3 linked regions of the Drosophila melanogaster genome follow. The protein of the gene in region 1 interacts with the protein of each later gene in a pairwise test. Each region holds a gene or a part of one and is shown on either strand. Other genes may lie near its edges.

Region 1 (7,055 bases):
CATACGATCGGCAGCTGGCGAGGAGGAGTACAAGGATTTCTATGTTTGGCACACCGGCAAGGTGGTCAACGGAATCCGCCAGCCACCCACCAACTGGGTCTCCGTGTTCCGCGGATCCATGTGGACCTGGAACGAGCAACGGCAGGCGTACTACCTCCACCAATTCCACGCCAAACAGCCCGATCTAAACTACCGCAACCCCAAGGTTGTTGAAGCCATGAAGGATGTACTGCGCTTCTGGCTGCGAAAGGGGGCTTACGGCTTCCGCATCGACGCCGTTCCTCATGTCTACGAAATTCCAGCTGATGCCGACGGCAACTGGCCCGATGAACCGCGGAACGAGGCGGTGAGCGATCCCGAGGACTACACTTACCTGCAGCACATCTACACCACCGATCAACCCGAGACCCTGGAGCTGGTTTACGCTTTCCGCGATGTGATCGAGGAAATAGACGCCGAGCTGGGTGGCGACGACCGCGTCCTGCTCACCGAGGCCTACTCTCCTCTGGAAGTTTTGATGCAGTACTATGGAAATGGCACTCACCTGGGCTCCCAGATCCCCTTCAATTTCGAGCTGCTGGCCAAGATCAGCTACAGCTCCGATGCCTACCATTACTCGGAGCTGATCCACAACTGGCTGGACAACATGCCAGAAGGTCAGGTGGCTAACTGGGTGTTCGGCAACCACGACCAGAGTCGCATTGGCTCCCGATTGGGCGCCGATCGCATCGACGCCTGCAACATGATCATACTGGGCCTGCCCGGCGTGAGTGTGACCTACCAGGGCGAGGAGATGGGTATGACCGACGTTTGGATCAGCTGGGAGGACACCGTGGACCCTCAAGCCTGCCAATCGAACGAACAGGAGTTTGAGCGCCTCACTCGCGACCCAGTGCGCACTCCATTCCAGTGGAGCGACGAGGTCAACGCCGGGTTCTCCAACGCCTCGGTAACCTGGCTGCCTGTGGCCAGCAACTACAAGTTGGTCAATGTGAAGAAGGAGCGTGGAATAGCCCTTAGCCACCTGAACGTCTACAAGCAGCTGCGGGCTCTGCGTGATGAGCCTACTTTGAAGCAGGGTGATGTCTCCGTAACAGCCATTGGTCCAAATGTGCTGGCCTTCAAGCGGTAAGCTGGAACAATCATAGAACTTACACAAAGACTGGATATTGACCGGTTTTCCTTGTCAACAGATCTTTGGCGGGCTACAAGTCGTACATCACCCTCATCAACATCAACGATGATGTGGAATCGATCAACTTGGACTCTGTCTTCACCTCCATAACCACGCAACTGCAATATGTGGTGGTGAATGATAAGAGTGTGCGTCGCAAGAAGTAAGCACTAGACACCATAAAATATCTTTAAACATACAACACTAACTATTTTATCCTTTTAGCGACCTCACCTTTGCCAACTCCGTGCTGCTGTTGCCCAAGGAAGCAGTTGTGCTGAGCACAGTTTAAACTAATATATTAGATCCTTAATAAAGAATAACACAAAAATATTTTGATCGCATAACTTCTTTAATAGGGTTGGATTACTTAACTAACTGTGCTTATCTATACGATGGCCCCATGCCAACTTGTATAAGCACTGATTAGAAACAGACCCACTGGAAGTTTTGAATAATAGCCATTTAATTTATTGGCCATTTAGGCAATAACTAAATTCGTACGATTACTATCGATCACGTTTATTCGCAGATTAATCCATAGCGATAACCAAGCGACAGCTCAGGCCAAATGCCTATATCTTAAGTGGGTGTCTATAAAATCTAGATGTGGTAATTGGCATTCAAAGTTCGGTTTAATATATTTCTGGGAAAACATATGTCGAAACAGGGCCTATCTTTATTAGGGACCCCAGTGGCATTCGTACTGATTAACACGAACTAAAGAAGTAATTCTTGATACAACAAAATAAGTACAAGAAGTTAAGCCAACCAGCGTAGAACGACTGCTTCGTAGGGCATGAGAATGATTCTCTGTGACAGATCTGCTTTTTGCCTGTAAATCGTTTTAAGTTAGTTAAAAGTATAGAAATCAAGAAAGTAGAGAAAACCTACCCCGAATAGTGTGTGGAGTAGGCAGTGGCCAGCACATACTCGTAGGTTTTGGGGGCGAGCCCATCGAGGATTTCCATACCGTTGCCCATGTTGACCAGGATTCGATACTCCTCGCTGATCTTGTTTGTGCTGTAGGATATCAGGATATTAGGATCAGCAAGAGGATTAGAAGAGGATTTGCTTCACGTACCGAATGATCTGTAGAACCTGTTCCGTCACCGCCTCGTAGGAGAAACCTCCATCCTCTTTGAACGCAAGAAAGGCGGAACTGCTCTTAAGTTCTTGAAGACCCTTAAAGATGTTCAGGGAAGATCTGGAAACACCGCGTTCAGTCTGCACATTGTACCGTTGATATTCGGGACTTAGAGGCAGCCAGGTGGACTCCCCATCAGAGAAGTCGGCATTCTTTCCAGCCGTCCACTGCATGGGCGTGCGCTCCCCATCGCGATCCTCGCAAGAGTCGCCGGTGCACTCCACGTCCACGTTGGACATGCCAATTTCCTCGCCGTAGTAGGTTACCGAAGCACCTGGCAGGGCGTTTACAATCACATTTAGTAGATCCACTTTGTGAGCTCCCATACGATCGGCCACTCGGTTGGTATCGTGATTACCAACAACCCAATTGGCCGTCTGGTGCTCCTTCCACATGGTATTCATCCAGTAGTCGATAGATCCCACAACATCCTTGGCGGTGGAGTATCCACTGAGATACATCAACTGGAAGTTCATGGGCAGCTGGGTACCCTGATGGGTGCTGTTTCCGAAGTAAGCACTTAGTGTCTCCACGGAAGAATAGGCCTCGGCCAGGAGAACCCGTGAATCGCCTCCATTCTGCGCCCGATAGTTGTCCAAAAACTCACGCCATTCGTACATGAGATCCACCGTGGCCGGCTGGTCCTTGGTGTAGATGTGATCATGGTAGTCGTAGGCGTTGGGGTCACTGCCCCAACCGCTAACCGGTTCATCCGGATAGGATCCGTCTGCATTGCGGTGCTCGTAGATGTGTGGAACTGCATCGATACGAAATCCATCAACTCCGCGGTCCAGCCAAAACTTCAAGACATCCAGCATGTGCTCCCTGACCATTGGATTGGTAAAGTTTAGATCCGGCTGCTTCACCTGAAACTGGTGCAGGAAGTACTGCTGGCGCTTCTCGTTCCACGTCCACATGGGTCCGCTGAACACACTGACCCAATTAGATGGAGGATCTCTTGCACCAGTTTCCTCATTCAGTTTTCCATCGTCCCACACGTAGAAGTCGTCGTAGCCATCTTCGCGATTCACGGACTTTTCAAACCACACGTTCTCGTCACTCGAGTGGTTGGGTACAAAGTCGAGAATGATCTTAACGCCCAGCGACTTGGCCTCCACTATAAGGTCATCGAAATCCTCGAGAGTGCCGAAAATCGGATCGATGTCATAAAAGTTAGAGATGTCGTAGCCGAAATCCGACATGGGCGAGGTAAAAATGGGCGACAGCCAGGTGGCCGTGATGCCTATTTCCTTGAGGTAGCCCAATCTCGAAGTAATGCCTTTCAGGTCCCCGATGCCATCGCCATCGCTGTCCTGGAAGGAGCGCGGATATATCTGGTACAGCGAGGCGTTCTCCCACCAATCGATATCTGCAGTACCCTCCTGGGTGGTGGAAATTAGAAGGAGAGCTGCTAGCCCGAGATGTGCCCACTTTGGCATTTCGATAGCGTTTGAGTGGGCCAAACTCAATTTGCTAATACCAATTGCCATGTAGCGATTGAGCAGTCGATAAGGCACAATTGCACCGGCCAACTGGTAATCTATCAGTTTTATCGCATATTTGCTAGATTAAATAACAGTGGACTGGTCTTTCCCGCTCTCGAATGCTCTCTTTTTTGTTGGGCATTCCATTAGACCGCGAAATGTCGTAAAAGTGCAATAAAGTACGTTTGTTAAAGTTATAAATTGATGACTGGCCTGAGAATCACAAGCTGCATCAATATCTTTTAGTATTTATATTCGTAGGGTAACGGGTTTAATTACAAATATAATATAGAATTTATAGAATATAATATATTTTACAATTTATAAAAATTACTACAAACATATTTCAGTGTATTTGAGCAAGACAGATAATAAATGGGCAATAATGCGTGCACGGCCAAAATACTTTTGATATACCATATGCTTTTTTCTCGACAACAAAAAATGTTTAGATTTATAATACTAATTAGGTCACCATTTAGGCTTTACCTTTACAATTCCACCTCAATATGCTCCAGAGTTCACAAAAGATGAAATCATAAATTGCATGTAGAATTCTTGATACCACTCTAGCCACAATTCAAAGGATGTTTTTGTATTTTTCATGATAAGCTTTTTGAGGTACGGGTACTATCTAAACCATCTGTGGTTTCATACAATCAATATAGCTAACAAATACATGTATATTTTGAGTTACCTTTTAAGGTAGTTTACTACACTAACGCAACCTGATGAAGGATGCATTTATTGTAATTGACAGACAGGCGGACGGACAATCTTAAGTGGACTTTACAAGTTACTGTACTGTACAAGTTACTGCGAGTAAAATATGACATTTTTATAGAGTTAGATAAACGCAGGAAATATTTTCCTCGAAAACGCTTATCATATGAATGTCGACCTACGCTGATACTGACAACAGTTTAGGCCGTATTGCAACGATGATTATGTATTGTCACGCGATTAAAATGCCCCCAAAACTTCCACAAGGTTATCTTTTAAACATTTCCACAGCATTGTTAAGTGTTAATTAATCATGGTTTTCCAGCTTGTTGCTTGTTTGCTTGTAGTTGAAGGAGTAGGATTTGTCTGCGCTATTATCAGGTGACTAATGTCCACTTGAAAGGCCTACCATAACAAAAACAAGGAGGAACAGAAAAGACAGGTGCTGCGCTATATGTTACCCATTACTCAAATTGCAAACAGAAAACCTTCGGTCTCAGAGTGGAACCCAGCAGCAGAATGTAAAATTTAATTCACTTCATATTTAGTTTAAATGTATAGCGTGTGGCAATCTTTTGGAACTATCTCTAGATGTGTTTGCTTTTCTAGAAGCAAAAGCCGTATTCTCAACTGTTTGGCTCTCTTATTTCCCATAATTCCGATATTATACCTTATTTTCGCCGAACCTGTATACCTGCTTACACTTACCGGTAACGGGTATACAAATAATTCCGGATGATATTTGTCGCAAAAATCGGTATTTTTCCAGCAATCAGAAGACATTCGGGAGTGGGCTAATCGCTTTACGTAAAGCTTCGCTGGGAGTACGAAAACAATGACAGTTTCGGTTCGACTCGAGCACCCTGAGAACTCATGGGAGCTGTTTGCACAGCAATTCAAATGGCCACTCAAAATGGCCAGATCTCGATTGGAGCCACCTTATCGACTAGTATAAAAGGCACTGTCAGCTCTCCAGCCCGAACAAAATCGATCAAAATGCGCCCGCAATCAGCTGCGTGTCTATTACTGGCCATCGTTGGCTTCGTGGGAGCCACCGAGTGGTGGGAGAGTGGAAACTACTACCAGATCTACCCGCGCTCCTTCCGGGATTCCGACGGAGACGGCATTGGCGACCTGAACGGGGTCACTGAAAAGCTGCAGTACCTGAAAGACATCGGCTTCACGGGCACATGGCTGTCGCCCATATTCAAGTCGCCCATGGTCGACTTTGGTTACGACATATCGGACTTCTACCAGATCCATCCCGAATATGGAACCATGGAGGACTTTGAGCGAATGATCGCCAAGGCCAAGGAGGTGGGCATTAAAATCATCCTGGACTTCGTACCAAACCACTCAAGTACCGAAAACGAATGGTTCACCAAGTCTGTGGACAGTGACCCCGTCTACAAAGACTTCTACATCTGGCACGATGGCAAGATCAACAACGAGACCGGTGAGCGGGAGCCGCCGAGCAACTGGAACTCTGAGTTTCGCTACAGCGCCTGGGAGTGGAACGAGGTGCGTCAGCAGTACTACCTCCACCAGTTCGCCATCCAGCAGGCCGACCTCAACTATCGCAATCCGGCCGTGGTTAACGAGATGAAGAACGTTATTCGCTTCTGGCTGGGAAAGGGAGTATCCGGATTCCGTATAGATGCAGTTCCCTACTTGTTTGAGGTGGATCTCGATCGCTACAACCAGTATCCGGACGAGCCTCTGACCAACGACTCCGTGAACTGTCCCGACCCCGATGACCACTGCTACACGCAGCACATCTATACACAGGACATGCCGGAAACAATTGACATGGTGTACCAGTGGCGTGAGTTGGTGGATGAGTTTCATGTGGAGAACGGCGGAGATAAGAGGCTGCTGATGACGGAGGCGTACACCAGCTTTGAAAACATCATGACTTACTATGGAAATGGAGTCAGGAATGGCTCCCACATTCCCTTCAACTTTGACTTCCTTACGAGCATCAACAACGCCTCTAAGGCCGGAGAGTACGTAGAACATATTAAGAAGTGGATGGACGCCATGCCCGAGGGCGTTTATGCCAATTGGGTGCTGGGCAACCACGACAACAAGCGAGTAGCCTCCCGATTTGGTGTCCAGCGCACCGACCTTATCAACATCCTGCTGCAGACTCTGCCCGGCCACGCGGTCACCTACAATGGAGAGGAGCTGGGCATGACCGACGTCTGGATCAGCTGGGAGGACACCGTTGATCCGAATGCGTGCAACTCCGATCCCGACAACTACTACGCCCGATCCAGGGATCCTGCCCGATCTCCCTACCAGTGGGATGCCTCCTCCAAAGCAGGTATGAACTTATCTATATTTACTCTGCTTAGTATGAACAATCTACACTGAACTAAAACATTTGGTTAAGTGCGTTACAAAGACTCCGAAATCTCACCTCACTGAAGGGCCATCTGACATTCTATTGGAATACAAATGCTAACATTTTTAAAAGACATGACGAATGATAGCCGTTTGAATATAATAGCTAATCAAATACATT
Region 2 (6,727 bases), 6.4 Mb from region 1:
GGGATATCCTGGCCAGATTCACCACCGACGTAATCGGCACGTGTGCCTTTGGCATTGAGTGCAGTAGTCTTAAGGATCCAGAGGCAGAGTTCAGGGTAATGGGTCGTCGAGCCATCTTCGAACAACGCCACGGACCGATCGGGATCGCGTTCATCAATAGCTTCCAAAATCTGGCACGCAGACTGCACATGAAAATAACACTAGAAGAAGCCGAACACTTCTTCCTCCGGATCGTCAGGGAAACAGTCGCATTTAGGGAGAAGAACAACATCCGTCGCAACGACTTTATGGATCAGCTCATCGATTTAAAGAACAGTCCACTGACAAAGTCCGAATCTGGGGAAAGTGTTAACCTTACGATCGAGGAAATGGCCGCCCAGGCGTTCGTGTTTTTCGGAGCTGGCTTCGAAACCTCGTCGACCACCATGGGATTCGCACTGTATGAACTGGCCCAGCATCAGGACATTCAGGACCGGGTGAGGAAGGAGTGTCAGGAGGTTATTGGAAAGTACAACGGAGAGATAACTTACGAAAGTATGAAGGACATGGTCTATCTAGATCAGGTTATATCGGGTATGTAATGTGCTCGTCTTCTCCGTCCTTTCTAACTTTTGGTTTTTTTTTAGAAACCCTTCGCTTGTACACCGTTCTCCCGGTCTTGAATCGCGAATGCCTGGAGGACTATGAGGTTCCTGGACATCCCAAATACGTCATCAAAAAGGGAATGCCCGTTTTGATTCCGTGTGGAGCCATGCACCGCGATGAGAAACTGTATGCCAATCCAAACACCTTTAACCCAGACAACTTCTCGCCCGAACGAGTGAAGGAACGCGACTCCGTGGAGTGGCTTCCATTCGGCGATGGTCCCAGGAACTGCATCGGAATGCGGTTTGGTCAAATGCAGGCCAGAAGTGGATTGGCTTTACTAATCAATAGGTTCAAGTTCTCCGTTTGCGAACAAACAACAATACCAATTGTATACAGCAAAAAAACATTCTTAATATCAAGCGAGACTGGCATCTTCTTAAAAGTTGAACGCGTTTAAAAATTTCAATATTTAATCTATTAGTCCCTATTTTATATGGAATTCCAGAAACAATGTTGCTCTATATCTATAAGAATGTTAAGCTTATTAGTGTCTAATCGCAGTAGCATGCTTGTGGATAACTAACTACTGTAAGTTGGCTTTCATTTTATGGTTTTAAAAAATTGTTTTTTTATTTTCTGGGTGATATATTGCCTTTTAAAGGCTTCTTATTATTGCATAATTATTACAAGACTCTTTTGCAGAAAAAATACTTTCGGCATTTCTTGGCAGAAGCAATCTATGAACATAACATTTTTAAGAAGTTAAGATATTTTAAAATCATTACAAAAACATTTTAAAAATCACGTACTCAAAGTAACTAACAACGAAATTAAATAAATATATAACACTTTAGTCTCTCACTACCTTGGTGATATTGAGATGGATTCCGCCCTCGGAGCCCAGCAAAAGGTTATTGATTGTGTATTTCATTGGCACTGGCGTCTTGGGATGCAATTCGAACCTAAAATTGTGGATTAGCAGGGCCAATCCAATGATGACCTGCATCCGTCCGAATCGGAGTCCAATGCAATTTCGGGGACCAGCTCCGAAGGGTAGGAAAGCGCAGGTGGGACGCTTCTTTACTTGCTCTTCATCGAATCGTTCTGGGATAAACTTTTCCGGCTCCGGATAAAACTCAGGATCATGATGGATGCCCAGGGTGGACACCAGCACTCCAGTGCCGGCCTCTATGAAATACTTGGGATTACTGTGCTGGTACGGTTTGGTGGCAATGCGAGCCAAGTGGGCTACCACTGGATGTTTCCTTAGCGATTCTAAGCAGATAACATATACAGTTTAGAATGAAAAAATAAACTATAATAACTTACCATTGATAACCTTTTCCATATAAAACAAGTCCTGCATAGAATCGTATTCCAGTTTACCATTGTACCTTTCCAGCACACTGTCGATTTCAGCCCTCAACTTGTCCTGAACATCCTGATTGCAGGCCAGCTCATAAAGTGTGAATCCCATGGTTGTGGATCCCGCCTCAAAACCAGCTAGGAAAAATACGAAGGCCTGGGCAGCGACCTCATTGAAGGCAAGTCCATTTTCCTTGTCGCCTTTATCATACTGCTGTTTCATGTCAATCAACGTGTCCATGAAATCGTTCCGAGTCACCTTTCTCTTCATCCTGTAATCTATGGTGTCCTGCACGATTTTCATATAGAACTTCTGCACCGAGGGAAGCAAGAACTGGAAACCCAGTTTCACGGCCAGTTTAGGCATCCCGAAGATTAGTAGATCTACCAGCCAACCATGACGACGTTCTCTTAGCGCTGAGTAGCCCATTTGGACGAACTCCGCCTTAGGATCCCGCAGACTATTGCATTTCAGGCCAAAAGCACAGATTCCAATTACGTCGGATGTGAAGCGTGACACAATGTCGGTGACTTCCAGGGTCTGCGAAGAACTGGAGATCTTTTCATCGACCACGCGAATCATCTCATCGCCCACGTTTAAGACCGTGGAAAACATGCTCTTCATTTTGGCTGACGTAAATGTGTGGGTCAGCTTCTGTCGCAGATTTTTCCACTTTTGACCCTCGATGGTTGCCAGGTTATTGGTCAGCGGATCATCCTTTTCGTTGTGATACACTCCGCGATCGTGAAACTTATCGAAGTCGCGAATTAGCACGGTTTTTACAAAATCCACGTCCGTGATGACAATGTACTTCATAGCATAGAGGTAGAAGCCCGCAAAAGGTCCGTCGGTCTGTTTCCTGAATTTCAGATATGTTCGCTTGAGGATGCCGGCCAGCGGCATTGTTCTCCAAAGTTCGCCGGTATTGCCGAGCGGAATATTGGGTGGATCATGGGGAATTCCTCGCCGTTTCCAGTAGGTGTAGTTCTGGAGCACCCACCAAGCGACGAGCGTAAGGACACCGACCACCAAACCGAGCAGGATCGCCATTTTGAGCAGACTGATTTGAGAAACCAATTCCAAGCGTTGCTTTTATGAAGAAGAGCTTTCCATCTAGCTATCGCCTGCTCCTCTTTTTTAGTCGTAACCAAGAAAATTTAACTGTTCACTTCCAGATAGAGGTGCTAATAGCAAAAAAGCTGAACAAAAATTTATTGAGGGTATTACCACAAATATTTACAATAAATTTACAACAACAAACTAACAAGGCTTAATTTGAATGCTATACTCTCATATACTGAATATGAGCTTTAAGAGGGATTTAATTCAAAAAAATCATATATAGCCGTGAATAAATGACCAAATAAAATTGTAATATTTAACCATTAAAGCCCATAATAATTTTGTTTATAGTCTCATTTGGAAAGCTTCTCAACTTTAAGGTGAATGCCATTCTCAGCAGACAGAAGAATGCTTTTCACGACAAACTTCATGGGAATTTGTGTTTCTGTGGACACACTGAACTTATAGCCTCGGATTAGATAGGCCAATCCCACGCAGGCCTGCATCAGTCCAAACCGAAGACCGATGCAGTTCCGGGGACCTTCTCCAAACGGCAGCCAGGTGCACGAGGGTCTCGCGGCGATCGCCTCATCCGTAAATCGCTCCGGCTTGAACTTCTCCGGTTCGGGATAGATTTCCGGATCATAGTGAATACCAAGAGCTGGGATCACAACAGTGGTTCCCTTGGCAATAAAGTATTTAGGATCTTCAGGCGAAAAATCTGTCTGGGTCATTCGCGTTAGATGCGCCAGAACTGGATACTTGCGAAGGGTTTCTGTGGCGTAAAATGGGAAAAGGCCCTTTAGGTAAAGTTATGCAACCTCTTGGGATTTTACTTACCCATGACGACCTGCTCCAGATACTTCATCTCTTTGATTCCCTCGTAGGTAAACTCGTTGTTGTGTTTGCTCAGAACATTGTTGATCTCCGCCCTAAGTTGATCCTGAATATCCTGATCGAGGGCGAGCTCGTACAGGGCAAATCCCATGGTCGTCGAGCTGGTCTCGAAGCCAGCCACAAAGAAAATAAAGGCCTGTGCCAAGATCTCGTTGAAGGACAGGCCATCCTCAGTGTTTCCGGCCTGCTCCTTCTCGTACATTTCGATTAAACTGTCCATGAAGTCGTGACGCTTCTCGTTGGTCCTCAATCGGTAGTCGATAGTATTCCTAACAATGCTAGTGTAAAAGTCCTCAACATCCTGCACGTTTAGTTTAAGCCGCAGGCGGCGGGAAAGTTTGGGAAATCCGAATATCAGGAAATCCAATAGTCCTCCATAACGACGTTCTATGATCGCCCTTTTTCCGATTGTCACAAACTCTGCATTCGGGTTTTGCAAACTATTGCAATTTAAACCGAAGGCGCAATTACCGATTACGTCAGCCGTATATCGAGCCACCAGATCCACAATTTCCAGAACTTGACCTTCACCTGTGGTGGTTTTAGCACTGAAAATCTTCTCCATTTCCTCCCCAACCTTCACAATAATCGGAAACATGTTCTTCATTTTGCCGGACGTAAAAGTGGGTGTCAGTTTGTGCCTCAGATGACGCCACTTCTGACCCTCGATGCTGAACAAGGTGGCCGACAGCGGATCATCGATCTCATTGTAGAAAATTCCTCGATTCTCAAAGTGATTGAAGTCCTTGATCAGCACCCTCTTGACCAATTCCAAGTCGGTGATGACAGCAGACCGGGTGAAAAAGAAGTAGAACCCGGCAAACGGATAAACGGAACGTTTGTACTTTGTATAGTAGTCCCGGAAGATCATCGCAATGTGTCGCTTCTTGGGCCAGTCCTTCATGTTTCCGTATATTGGATGGGGCACATCGTGCGGAATACCCCGCCTCTGCCAGTATCCATGACGTCGGCGGGCCATGAACAAAAGCAGTGACACTAGAAGTGCGATCAACGTTAGTAACAGCGACATATTTCGTTCTCAGTCCGCTCCACACTGAGTTACCAACCGGAATGATATGGCCCCTTTATACGCGAACGTTCTCTTCTAATCTCTTCAAATGTACTCAGAAGCTAGTTGATAAAGCGAATATTATTGCTTTCGGTGTGTGTATGCCTTATTATGTGATGTTTGCTAGCAAATCAAAACATTGCCTAACACATAACACATTAAAAAGGTTAGTTAAAGAGGGCTTAAATTCATATTAACTGAGCACAGCCTAATCTAATCGATCACGTAAGTGAATCAAGCAAAATAAAGAACACAAATAATGTATTTGTTAAAAACTTATTTGGCGAGCTTCTCCACTTTAAGGTGGATACCATTCTCGGCCGATATCAGAATGTTCTTAACGACAATCTTCATGGGTATTTGAGTTTCCGGGGAAACACTGAATTTATAGCCCCTGATCAAGTAGGCCAAGCCCACACAGGTTTGCATCATTCCAAACCGCAGACCAATGCAGTTCCGCGGACCTTCTCCAAATGGAAGCCAAGTGCACGAGGGTCTCGCCGCGATTTCCTCGTCGGTAAAGCGTTCTGGCTTGAATATCTCCGGTTCCGGATATATGTCCGGATCATAGTGAATGCCCAAAGCTGGGATCACAACAATGGTTCCCTTGGCAATGAAGTATTTTGGATCTTCAGGCGAAAAGTCGGTGTCAGTCATTCTTGTAAGATGAGCCAGTACTGGGTACTTTCGCAGCGTTTCTAAAACAATATTTAAATAAATGTATCAAATAAAAAATAAGAAGGATTAAAGAAACATACCCATCACAACCTGCTCCAGGTATTTCATCTCCTTGATTCCCTCGTAGGTGAACTCTTTGTTATGCTTGCCGAACACATTGCCAATCTCCTCCCTGAGTTTATCCTGAACATCCTGGTTCCTGGCCAGCTCATATAGAGCGAATCCCATGGTCGTGGAGCTTGTCTCAAACCCAGCCACAAAAAATATGAAAGCCTGAGCGAGAAGTTCGTTAAAGGTCAGGCCATCCTCCGAATTTCCCGACTGCTCATTCTTATACATCTCTATCAGACTGTCCATGAAATCATTTCGCTTTTCCTTCGTCCGTAGACGGTAGTCAATGGTTTCCCTCACGATCTTGGTGTAAAAGTCCTCTGCCTCCTGGATATTTAGTTTCAGACGTAAGCGGCGCGATAACTTGGGAAATCCAAAGAGGAATATATCCAGCATATTCCCGTAGCGATGCTCGGTGATCGCCCGCTTGCCAATTGACACAAATTCAGCCTTTGGATCGTACAAGCTGTTGCAATTGAGACCGAATGCGCAGTTGCCGATCACATCGGCGGTGTACCGTGCCACCAGATCCACAACCTCCAAAACTTGACCCCGATCCGCAGCGGTTTTACTTCTGAAGACCTTATCCATTTCTTCTCCAACTTTCACAACAATCGGAAACATGTTCTTCATTTTGCCGGACGTAAAAGTGGGTGTCAGTTTGTGCCGCAGATGACGCCACTTCTGACCCTCGATGCTGAACAAGGTGGCCGACAGCGGATCATCGATCTCGTTGTAGAAGACTCCCCGATTCTCAAAGTGATTGAAGTCCTTGATCAGCACCCTCTTGAGCAATTCCATGTCGGTGACCACAGCAGTGCGGGTGAAAAAGAAGAAAAATCCAGCGAATGGGTAATCGGAGTTCTTGTACTTGAAGTAATAGTCCCGAAAGATCTCGGCAATGTGCCGCTTATTTGGCCAGTCCTTGATGTTTCCGAAAAGCGGGTGTACCTCGT
Region 3 (8,772 bases), on another chromosome or scaffold:
TCCGAACCATTGTGCCGTGTATTACGCGGCCGCCTCGCTCTGTTTGGCCAACCTTTTGCCCAAAGGTGAGGAGGCGTGTGAGTCACGCGGGCGGCGACGGATGCAAACAATGGGTGCATGTTAATTGGCGTGCCCATCGCTGCATTTGTCGCTATTAATAGCCATAGATATTATAGTATAGAGCAATTTTTTATGTACCTTCCCAATGCAGATTGTAAATTCTACACCTTGGACTCGATCAATGTGGTCAGAAAATATCTATCCATCTTGGACCTGCTGTGCACGTGCTTTATGTCCACGCATTGGTATGTGTTATAAGTGATGCCGAATTCATATATAAATTCTAATGAGTTCTTCATTACACAGGTGCATACTGAATTGGAAGGAAGCTGCGATTGTGAGGAGTGCGATGATGGAGCATCAGTCGCAGATGCGATGGTTTCGCTGGCTCTACATTTACTTCTCGCGCTACATGTTTATCAATTCGATGCGTCAGATAAATCTCTCGGATGTGGAGTTGGAAATGCAGATACATGACAACTAACAGGAGGAGGAGGGCGAGCGATTGAATTGCAAAAGACAAACTACCTTCATGATCGGATGCTCCGCTCCGAGTGGCAGAGCAAGTGGTTTTTAATTTAAACTCTGACGATTCTACTAGTATATATATGTATGTAACTACTACTGTTGGCCAAACGATCGATAGTAATTGGAAAGCTATATCCAAAACCACGAAGGGAACAAAGAATCAGCGAAGCGGCAGTACCATAGGCAACCGAAACCACAAAACAGTCCATTAATTAGTTCCACACTCACATATAAAATGGCATATCTTTAATTCTTATTAGTTAGCTCTAATTATTATTTATACTCAGTCCAAGCAATGTTCCAAAGTGTGCGATGTAGTCAAGTGCTTTAAAATTAAATTAAACATGTATGCGTTATTCTAATTGTTGTTAGCTTATGTTTTCATTTTCGTTTTGTGTACATTGATTTCCCCCCGTAGCATACACACCTTTAGTGAGTCACTTTCGTTCTTGTAAAATTGTAAAATAGTTTGTTGTAAGCAGCGAAGTACAATAATAATTTTATAAAATATATTTACATAAATATATAAATGAATGTATGTATACACACATAAACCAATCTTATGACGAGCCAGAGAGGATAGATTTTAGAATGCTGTTGAAAAATATTATTTAAAGTATTTTAATAGCGCACTTTCAAATTCATTGTTTTATGGGCCCACGCAGAACTTAGTAAAATGCGAGACGATTTTTTGTTGCAATACTTAAATCTATTGTTTTATTCTAATTCCGAATTTGAAGTCGAAAACACAGAATTAACTTCAATTAGAATAAGTTGTTTCGTTTTTGGCCTTCACACAGTTTTTTCCACCATAAATTTATCCAATGCCGGCTCGGAACTTCTCCTCCGAATCGCCTAGACGTCCACTTCTTCCGCACAGTTAACAATCACCTTGCCCAGCCCAATGTTGGACTCGTGCTGGGCAGCTCGGAACGCCTCGTCCGCCTTGCTCAGGGGATACGTGGCCGTTATGAATTTTTGCATATGTGCTCGACCAGATTGCATGAGTTGTAGAGCAGTCGGATACCTGCGAAGATAAGAGGATAACTAAATGGTTAGACATGGAAATTCTGGTGTACCCACATATTGGCGGAACGAAAACTGGGCACTAGGCGGATGTTCTTCATCAGTACGTCCAGAGCATTGAAGCTGGCACACTCTGAATCGCACTCGGCCAGCACACACACCCCACATGGCTGCAGAGCCATGACCGCCAGATTCATCGTCATTGCAGAGATGGAGCAGTTGATTACGCAGTCCGGCCAATCCCGGAACTTGCTGTAGATGGCTTCAAGGACCTCTCCGAACAGTGCGTTGCTATCGAACTCGACTGCTTGGAAGCCGAAGTCCCGGGCGACCACATCCAGAGCCGGAGCCATACATCCGGCAATGGCCACACGCTTGGCCCCGATGGCCTTTGCGCATATGCCGGCCGCCACAGCCGTTGGGCAGGCTCCCAGGATGAGGACGTTGCTGGTGGGCGTGACATTGGCCTTGAAGCACGCCTGGCACCCCAGTGCTAGTGTCTGCGTCAGGGCACCCGCCTCCATGCTGATGGACTCTGGAAGGCGGTGACAAAGGTCGGCTGGATGCGTTTGGTAGGTGCTTAGGAAGCCGTTGTACACCAACCCGGAGCACATGTTGTACAGGCCCTTCTTGCATAGATCACAGATGCCGCAGGATAACGCCGACTCCATGACGACCCGGTCACCCACATGCAGATGCTGGACGCATCGACCGAGTTCCTCCACAATACCCGTCGCATCATGGCCCAGGGACATGGCTTCCATGTCCCGATTGCCGTTCTCATAGACGTGGATGTCCGAGTTGGAGACAGCCACTGAGCCCGTTCGAATGAGGACGTCTGTACGAGAATCAAGTGACCGATTATAATGCTTTCAACTGAAGGATAAACCATCACCTACCAAAGTCCTTTGGTCGCGGCTTGGAAAAGGGAACCACGCTGATCTCGTAGGGATTCGTTATGCGCAGCGTAAGTGCTTCATCATCCGCGGTGCGCTTTTCAGAGGATGGATGGCAACATGGCCGCGTGCTAAATGATCTTCTCTGCGGCTGCAGCTGGGCAATAGAACTCCGGGTCAAGAGATTGCCTATTCTGTCTTGGGAACAGGATGATTGACCTGAGGGAACTGAGCAACTATACACTATCACATGACTACGCACCATCCTTTTTCTTCTTGCGATCGCATTTCTTTTTCGGGAACTTGACCTTGGCGCATTTGCCGGTGCAGCTTTTCTTTGGACAGCTGTCTTCGTCGCTGAAGCAATCCTCGCGCAGTCCCGTTCGCTCCTTAATGTCCTTGCCACGATTAATGGGGTATTTGGTCTGCAATTCGCCACACTTGCCGCCGGATTTGCTCTTCTTGGCGTATCCGCGATAGCTGATGTGCTGCAGGGCTCCACCGGAGATCCTTCCCGCAAGTCCACCGAAGCGTCTTCTCATAAGGGCCGTGTTGATGGTGAATCGGGCCGGAGCAACTGCTTTGTGGAGCAGCCGACTCGTGCAAAGCGAGCACTGGCAAGAGCTCTCAATCTTCGGAACAGGGACACGATAGTGACGGCGCACAAGAGTGGAGTAGACTTTGAAGCGGGGACCATTTGAAACACTATTCGATTCACGGAAAGCTTGGCTCAAGGCGGTGGACAAGTGGCGCCTGCTTGCATCCGGTAGGTTAGCAACGGTGGAGAACTTGCATTTGCTCTTGCCGCCACTACCGCCCTTCTTGAACTTGGCGCAAGGATCCTTCTTTTTGTCATCTTTCTTGGCACAAGAGGATTTCTTCTTGGCACAGGGATCTGCCTTCTTCTTGGCACAAGGATCCTTCTTCTTCTTGGCACAGGGATCTGCCTTCTTCTTGGCACAAGGATCCTTCTTCTTCTTGGCGCAGGGATCTGCCTTCTTCTTAGCACATGGATCCTTCTTCTTCTTGGCACAGGGATCTGCCTTCTTTTTGGCACAGGGATCTGCCTTCTTCTTGGCACAGGGATCCTTTTTCTTGGCGCACGGATCCTTCTTCTCGCCAGACTTGAACTTAGCACAAGGGTCCTTTTTCTTAGTGTCCTTCTTGCCACACGGATCCTTCTTCTTATCCTTGCCGCAAGCACTCTTTCCGCCGCCCTTTCCCTTGCACGTGATCTCAGTGGTCTTCAACGCCTTCTTTTTGGGTGCCTTCTTCTTTGCAGGCCGCTCGCAGGGATCCTCCTTGCAGGGATCTGTGATTAGAGGACACTTTCCAGGACATTTGCGCTTGGGTTTCACGGGCGGATGCTTGCAGCCGTCTTTGTCCACCGGAACTGGCACCTCTTGCTCCTGAATGCCGGGCATGGCACACGCTTCCTCGGCTATCTTCTGCAGGGATTCCCGCACTTGACCAACTTGATTAGCCGCCGACATATGGGAAGTATCGATGATCCTATTAGGAATAGTCTCCTCATCCTTGGTCAGTTCCAGGTCCGCGATGTAGGTATCTGAGGATTTTCCTGCGAAACCTTTCTCCAAGGCGGTACTGCAAAGGTTGGCAGCCAGCGAGGTGAGGTCATCGTTGAAGCCGGGCATTTTGTCCTCCGTTATCTGGGCGGGGCTCAACTTCTGGGTATCGATCTCCACTACGCCCGAGATCAAGGCGTTGAACCTAAGCGGCAGCGTTTTCTCCACAGTGCCAGGCGCATCCAATTCCACCTTTGTGTGCATACAGATCATGGGATCCTGTGGAGTTACTGCATTCTTGTCCTTGCTTTCCAGAGCCTGCCGCAGATTGGTCATATCCATTTCGAAGGACAGCTCCATCGACGAAACGGCCATATCGTTGAGGCGATTGCTCAAATCCTGCGGCACATCCACTCGCACCTCCTCGACGAAGTCGCTCTCTTGGTTGGCGAGCTCTTGGAGATTAGATGCCTTGGTTGAGCCATGGATGGGTTCCGTCTGGGCCATGGCCGACATGGATTTGGTGGTTTTCAGAGCAGAGTTGATAGCTGAGTTACCCACAGCGTTTTGCAGGCAACTATTGACTGCCGTCTGGCGTTGCATTGGCATGTTGGCACCCTGACCCGCATCCAGTGCGGTTCCCACAGCGTCCGCCGTTGGCGTGGATGGGAAGGCCTCCCAAAATTTGCGGTCCTCGGCACTCGCCCCGGCCTTGACTTCTTGGGGCTGACCGCCCGATTCCACTTCCTGCAGGGCCTCGTTCAAGGCACCGTATTCCTCGACCATGCTGTTGGAGAAGGTCTCGATGTGGTTGGCGTACAAGCGCAACTTGTTGATGGTTTCCAGCGTGTCCTTGAGTTCGTTGCCATCCATGCCAGACAGATCCAAGGGCACAATGACTATCTTCAGATCCTTGCCATCACCCGTTTCCGGTGTAATCAGTCCAATGGGCATGATCTTGGGCGCATTGCTCGAGTTGCCGGAAAAGCTAATCCGTTTGCGCAGCATATCCACGTTATCGCTGACCGAGAACACATTGCTACCCTTTTGGGAGTACCTCTGCACCCGGACGCGACACGGATGATTCGTCCTCCGGCTAGACTTTGATCCGGAGGAGGCACTGGTGCATAGTTGCCTCAACCGTTCTGCATGGAGTAGGCTGCGCGGTCGGTATAGCGGAGCATGGTAGCTAACGCATCTAGATATCTGGAGGAGATTAAGTCCGAGACGGTTAGTCGGGAACTTCCCGAATATGCCTGGCATTTTTTCTTTTTATGTACAAATTTTTGACTTGATTCAGGAATACATAAGTTAACACACGGTAGAATTTCAGTTTTGAGAAAGGAAAGAAACCAAAATGTTGTGTAGTGTAAGACGTAGCAAGGAAAAATGGTGTAAAAGCTAACCAAATGTCTAACGTAAAAGTAAAGGGCCTACTGATTTTAGGTTTTAGCCTTAATTCAAATGTACTGTACCTGTAAAATGTTGGTTACTCTGCCAAATAAGCGCATACTACTTAATTTTTCACTTGTGCTGAAAGGCCAAAAACTAAAAACTTTGAATTTTGAATTTTGGTGGAATTTTTTTTGTAGGTTTACAAAAGGTTGTGTACTAGCACTGGGCTATGTTTTCAGACTGGGCCAGTAAGCCAAACGAGATTATGAACTAAAATTCGCTAGCCTACTGCTTTCCCGAAATTTCTATAAGATTCCACAATCGATTCGTTTGGCAAGTCCTTGAAAATAAGGAAGATTACTGCAACCTATTTGCTGCAGATATAATCCCATAAATGCTGTCACTCCAAAAACTCGAAGAACCGACTTTTTTGGGGGCCTCTAAATGCATTTTGAATTAAATTTAGGTACCACAATTGCCCCTACCGTTGCTGCATATTAATTGATTCACTAGTCACCTGGTCACCCACTCAATCAATTGGTGCCTCAGTTCGATTTCTGATTTTGCTGGCAGCGGTTTCAGTTTCTGTTTCGGTTCGGTTTTAGTTTCGATTTCTAGCCAAGAGCTAGATCCGTGATTCCATTGACAATGTTGCGATTGGCCAGCTCCACACTTAGTAGTTCCATATGTCTTATTGTGTTTTTTAATGTAAGCAAACACTTGGCATTGCCGATAATTAGGGAACTTGGCGATGTCTAAATTCATAATGTGGGTTTTTTTTAAACAAATAAGTGACTCATGAGCTAACTATTCAAGAAAATGGTGTAGGTCATGAATAGAGTATAGAGTTTGGTTGCACATTAGGGATCACCTTCGTATACAAGGTATAACCACACAAAGCTTTGCTTAAAACTTTAAACTATAATCTCTGGCTATTAGTAAGAATATAATCAGACCCTCTTCCGATCGGACCCTATGACTTTTTGAAGCAACCACCATACACCCAGAAAAATTAAGAACGTCACTCAGTGGCATTTATCATAAATCATGAGAAGATTTCTTCTTGATTTCGAGACGAAAACGATCTCAATTTTAATATTTTCAGAGGGAAGAAGTATCAGGTTTATGATTGTGTAAAAGGAACGTAATGGAAAGACTGACAAAATGAGAGCAAAGTCAATTGTAATCTAAGAATGGATCGATCTCTATCGAAGCATAATTCAATCTTGGCAGAATTTTGAGATCAAAATTTTCAAATCGAGATCTTTGAGAACGGTTTTTTCTCTAAGTGTATAGATGGGCACATATCATAACTTAGAAACCTCATCTTTGATTTGTAAAGCAGCCATATCTTATTCAACCAAATTCAAGGTCCAGTGACGCGTGCGCGTTGGGATTTGAATATAGAAAGCCTTATTACCGGTCATACTCAATATTCATTAACGTACGTGCAGCCGGTCATTAAGCGCCAATTATAGATTCCATTTCTCCGAATGTATCTGCAGTTTTTGTGGCTGCTACTGCTGACGACGACGACGACGACGACGTCCGCCAAGCCCACCAACTCCAGTGATTCTGGCACCAAGAATGGAATGCTGCATGTGACCAGCTTTGTGAACCAGAAGCCCAAGTCGGGAGTACGTGAAGAGTTCGATTTCGAGCAGAATGAGGCGGAGGCCACCAACTCGGCGCATCTGCAACAGCTCTTCGGCAGTTTGTTGCAACTGCCTGGTAAGGGAAACATGAGTCTGGAGCTGTCCCTGGAGACGGACGACGATCCGGTCAGCGAGCGAAACCAGCTGGATGATGAGATGAAGGCCACTGGCGAGCAGCATGAGGGCTTCACCGAAACTGCGGATGCATGGCATCGCATTAAGCTAAATATTCCGGTCCTGGAGCCGGTGAAGCACCTGATAAACACAGTTGGCGGTGGCGGCGTGAACGACTCCCATGTGAAGAGCAATACTCATCGGCTGATTGGACACCATGGCGTCCACGAAACTCACCACAATGGCGGGAACATCAGCTCCCCGGCCATCGAAACGGAGGAGGATCGGGAGACAGCCATCGACAGCACCGGATTCGATGTTCTGGAAACGTTGGGCAGCGCGGGAACGGTTCTGTTCAGCATCTTGCAGAATCTTCGCAAGGTGTTTGCCGCTAGCGCTGGAAGTGCAAGTTCCGCATCCTCGGGGGGCGGCGGCGGTGGAGCAAACTAGTGGACTTTCTCGGAGATTATGTTCTGTGATTAATATAAGTCTTGTGCAAATTCGGATTTCCCTTGATTCTTACTAATTAAATAAACGAAATGTTATGAAAATGGAGAAATTAATATTTCGATTTTGGGAAATAGATTTTGCCACTACCCCAAAAAAGACTTGCAGTTGGATTTTATAAAATATTTTACTGTCTTAATTCTGGTTTTTTATACGATACTCTTAAGTAGCCTACATGAACTCATAGTTTCCGTCGTCAAAGTTGCGATTGCCGACCATTGGACCGCCTGCTCCCATTTGATTGGGATTCTGGCCACCCATTTGCGGCCGGAACTGATTGCCTGGCGTGGTCTGGTGCTGCAAGAGCTGGCGCAGCCCCGGGTTGTTGTTGCTCATCATGGGACGCACCATGCGCTGCTGCTGCTGTTGCGCCTGCTGCTGCTGCATTGCGGCGACGTTTGGCGCCACTTGTTGCAACTGCTGCTGGAGGTTTGGATTGGGCACGCCACCGGGACCAACACCCACGCCAACACCTACGCCCAGTGGCATTCGCTGTTGCTGCATCATGTTCATCTGCATTTGATTCTGTTGCATGGGCATGCCGCCGGGACCGGGACCAGGTCCGCCGCCAGGACCTCCACCACCCATCTGCATATTGAGTTGGAACTGGTTGTAGTGTTGCTGCTGCGAGTTATCCTGTTGCATCTGTTGCTGCTGTTGTTGTTGTTGCTGTTGCTGCTGCAGCTCCATGGGCGACTTGCCTTGCTGCTGCATCATTTGCTGCTGTTGCTGCTGCTGTTGCATGTTGCCGTGCTGCTTTTGCTGTATGACTTTGCGCAGACGTTCCACAAACATTGCCTGATTATTGGGAATGAAGCCCAGAAAAGCGTTGCGATCGGGCGTGTAGAGTAGGATGAGAACCTTAAGGTCACAGGCTGGTGAGTTGGGGATGGAGGAGAAGTGGACGCAGCCAGCATAGCCGGAGGTCATCATCTTGGCCAGCGAATCGAGTGCCTCTCCTGGAGTGGGTCGAAAAACAACCATTTTCGAGTCCTTGAGAAACTGCCCACCAATATTGCCAACTAGGTGCTTGGGCATTAGCTGCATCAACAGCTTGGGCGGCCA

The links.
Region 2: the proteins of Mal-A2 (region 1) and Cyp6a19 interact in a two-hybrid assay, tested with the Drosophila melanogaster proteins (one large-scale study listed by BioGRID).
Region 3: the proteins of Mal-A2 (region 1) and CG4836 interact in a two-hybrid assay, tested with the Drosophila melanogaster proteins (one large-scale study listed by BioGRID).

The regions. Positions count from the first base shown.
Region 1 is NT_033778.4:8,450,354-8,457,408, reverse strand, and holds Mal-A2 (maltase A2), read right to left. Parts: upstream 3,783-7,055; 5' UTR 3,761-3,782; coding exon 2,259-3,760; intron 2,198-2,258; coding exon 2,069-2,197; intron 2,010-2,068; coding exon 1,937-2,009; 3' UTR 1,627-1,936; downstream 1-1,626. Other genes in the region: Mal-A3 (maltase A3), read left to right, coding at 1-1,128, 1,194-1,337, 1,400-1,466; Mal-A1 (maltase A1), read left to right, coding at 5,525-6,854.
Region 2 is NT_033778.4:14,874,077-14,880,803, reverse strand, and holds Cyp6a19 (cytochrome P450 6a19), read right to left. Parts: upstream 3,019-6,727; 5' UTR 3,005-3,018; coding exon 1,918-3,004; intron 1,864-1,917; coding exon 1,439-1,863; 3' UTR 1,271-1,438; downstream 1-1,270. Other genes in the region: Cyp6a23 (cytochrome P450 6a23), read right to left, coding at 3,370-3,791, 3,857-4,943; Cyp6a17 (cytochrome P450 6a17), read right to left, coding at 5,259-5,680, 5,741-6,727. UniProt on the Drosophila melanogaster protein: May be involved in the metabolism of insect hormones and in the breakdown of synthetic insecticides.
Region 3 is NT_033777.3:20,010,758-20,019,529, reverse strand, and holds CG4836 (uncharacterized protein), read right to left. Parts: upstream 5,405-8,772; 5' UTR 5,300-5,404; coding exon 2,773-5,299; intron 2,709-2,772; coding exon 2,514-2,708; intron 2,453-2,513; coding exon 1,672-2,452; intron 1,616-1,671; coding exon 1,444-1,615; 3' UTR 1,282-1,443; downstream 1-1,281. Other genes in the region: PIG-L (phosphatidylinositol glycan anchor biosynthesis class L), read left to right, coding at 1-65, 212-301, 363-544; CG17190 (uncharacterized protein), read left to right, coding at 6,080-6,139, 6,937-7,650; MED25 (mediator complex subunit 25), read right to left, coding at 7,879-8,772.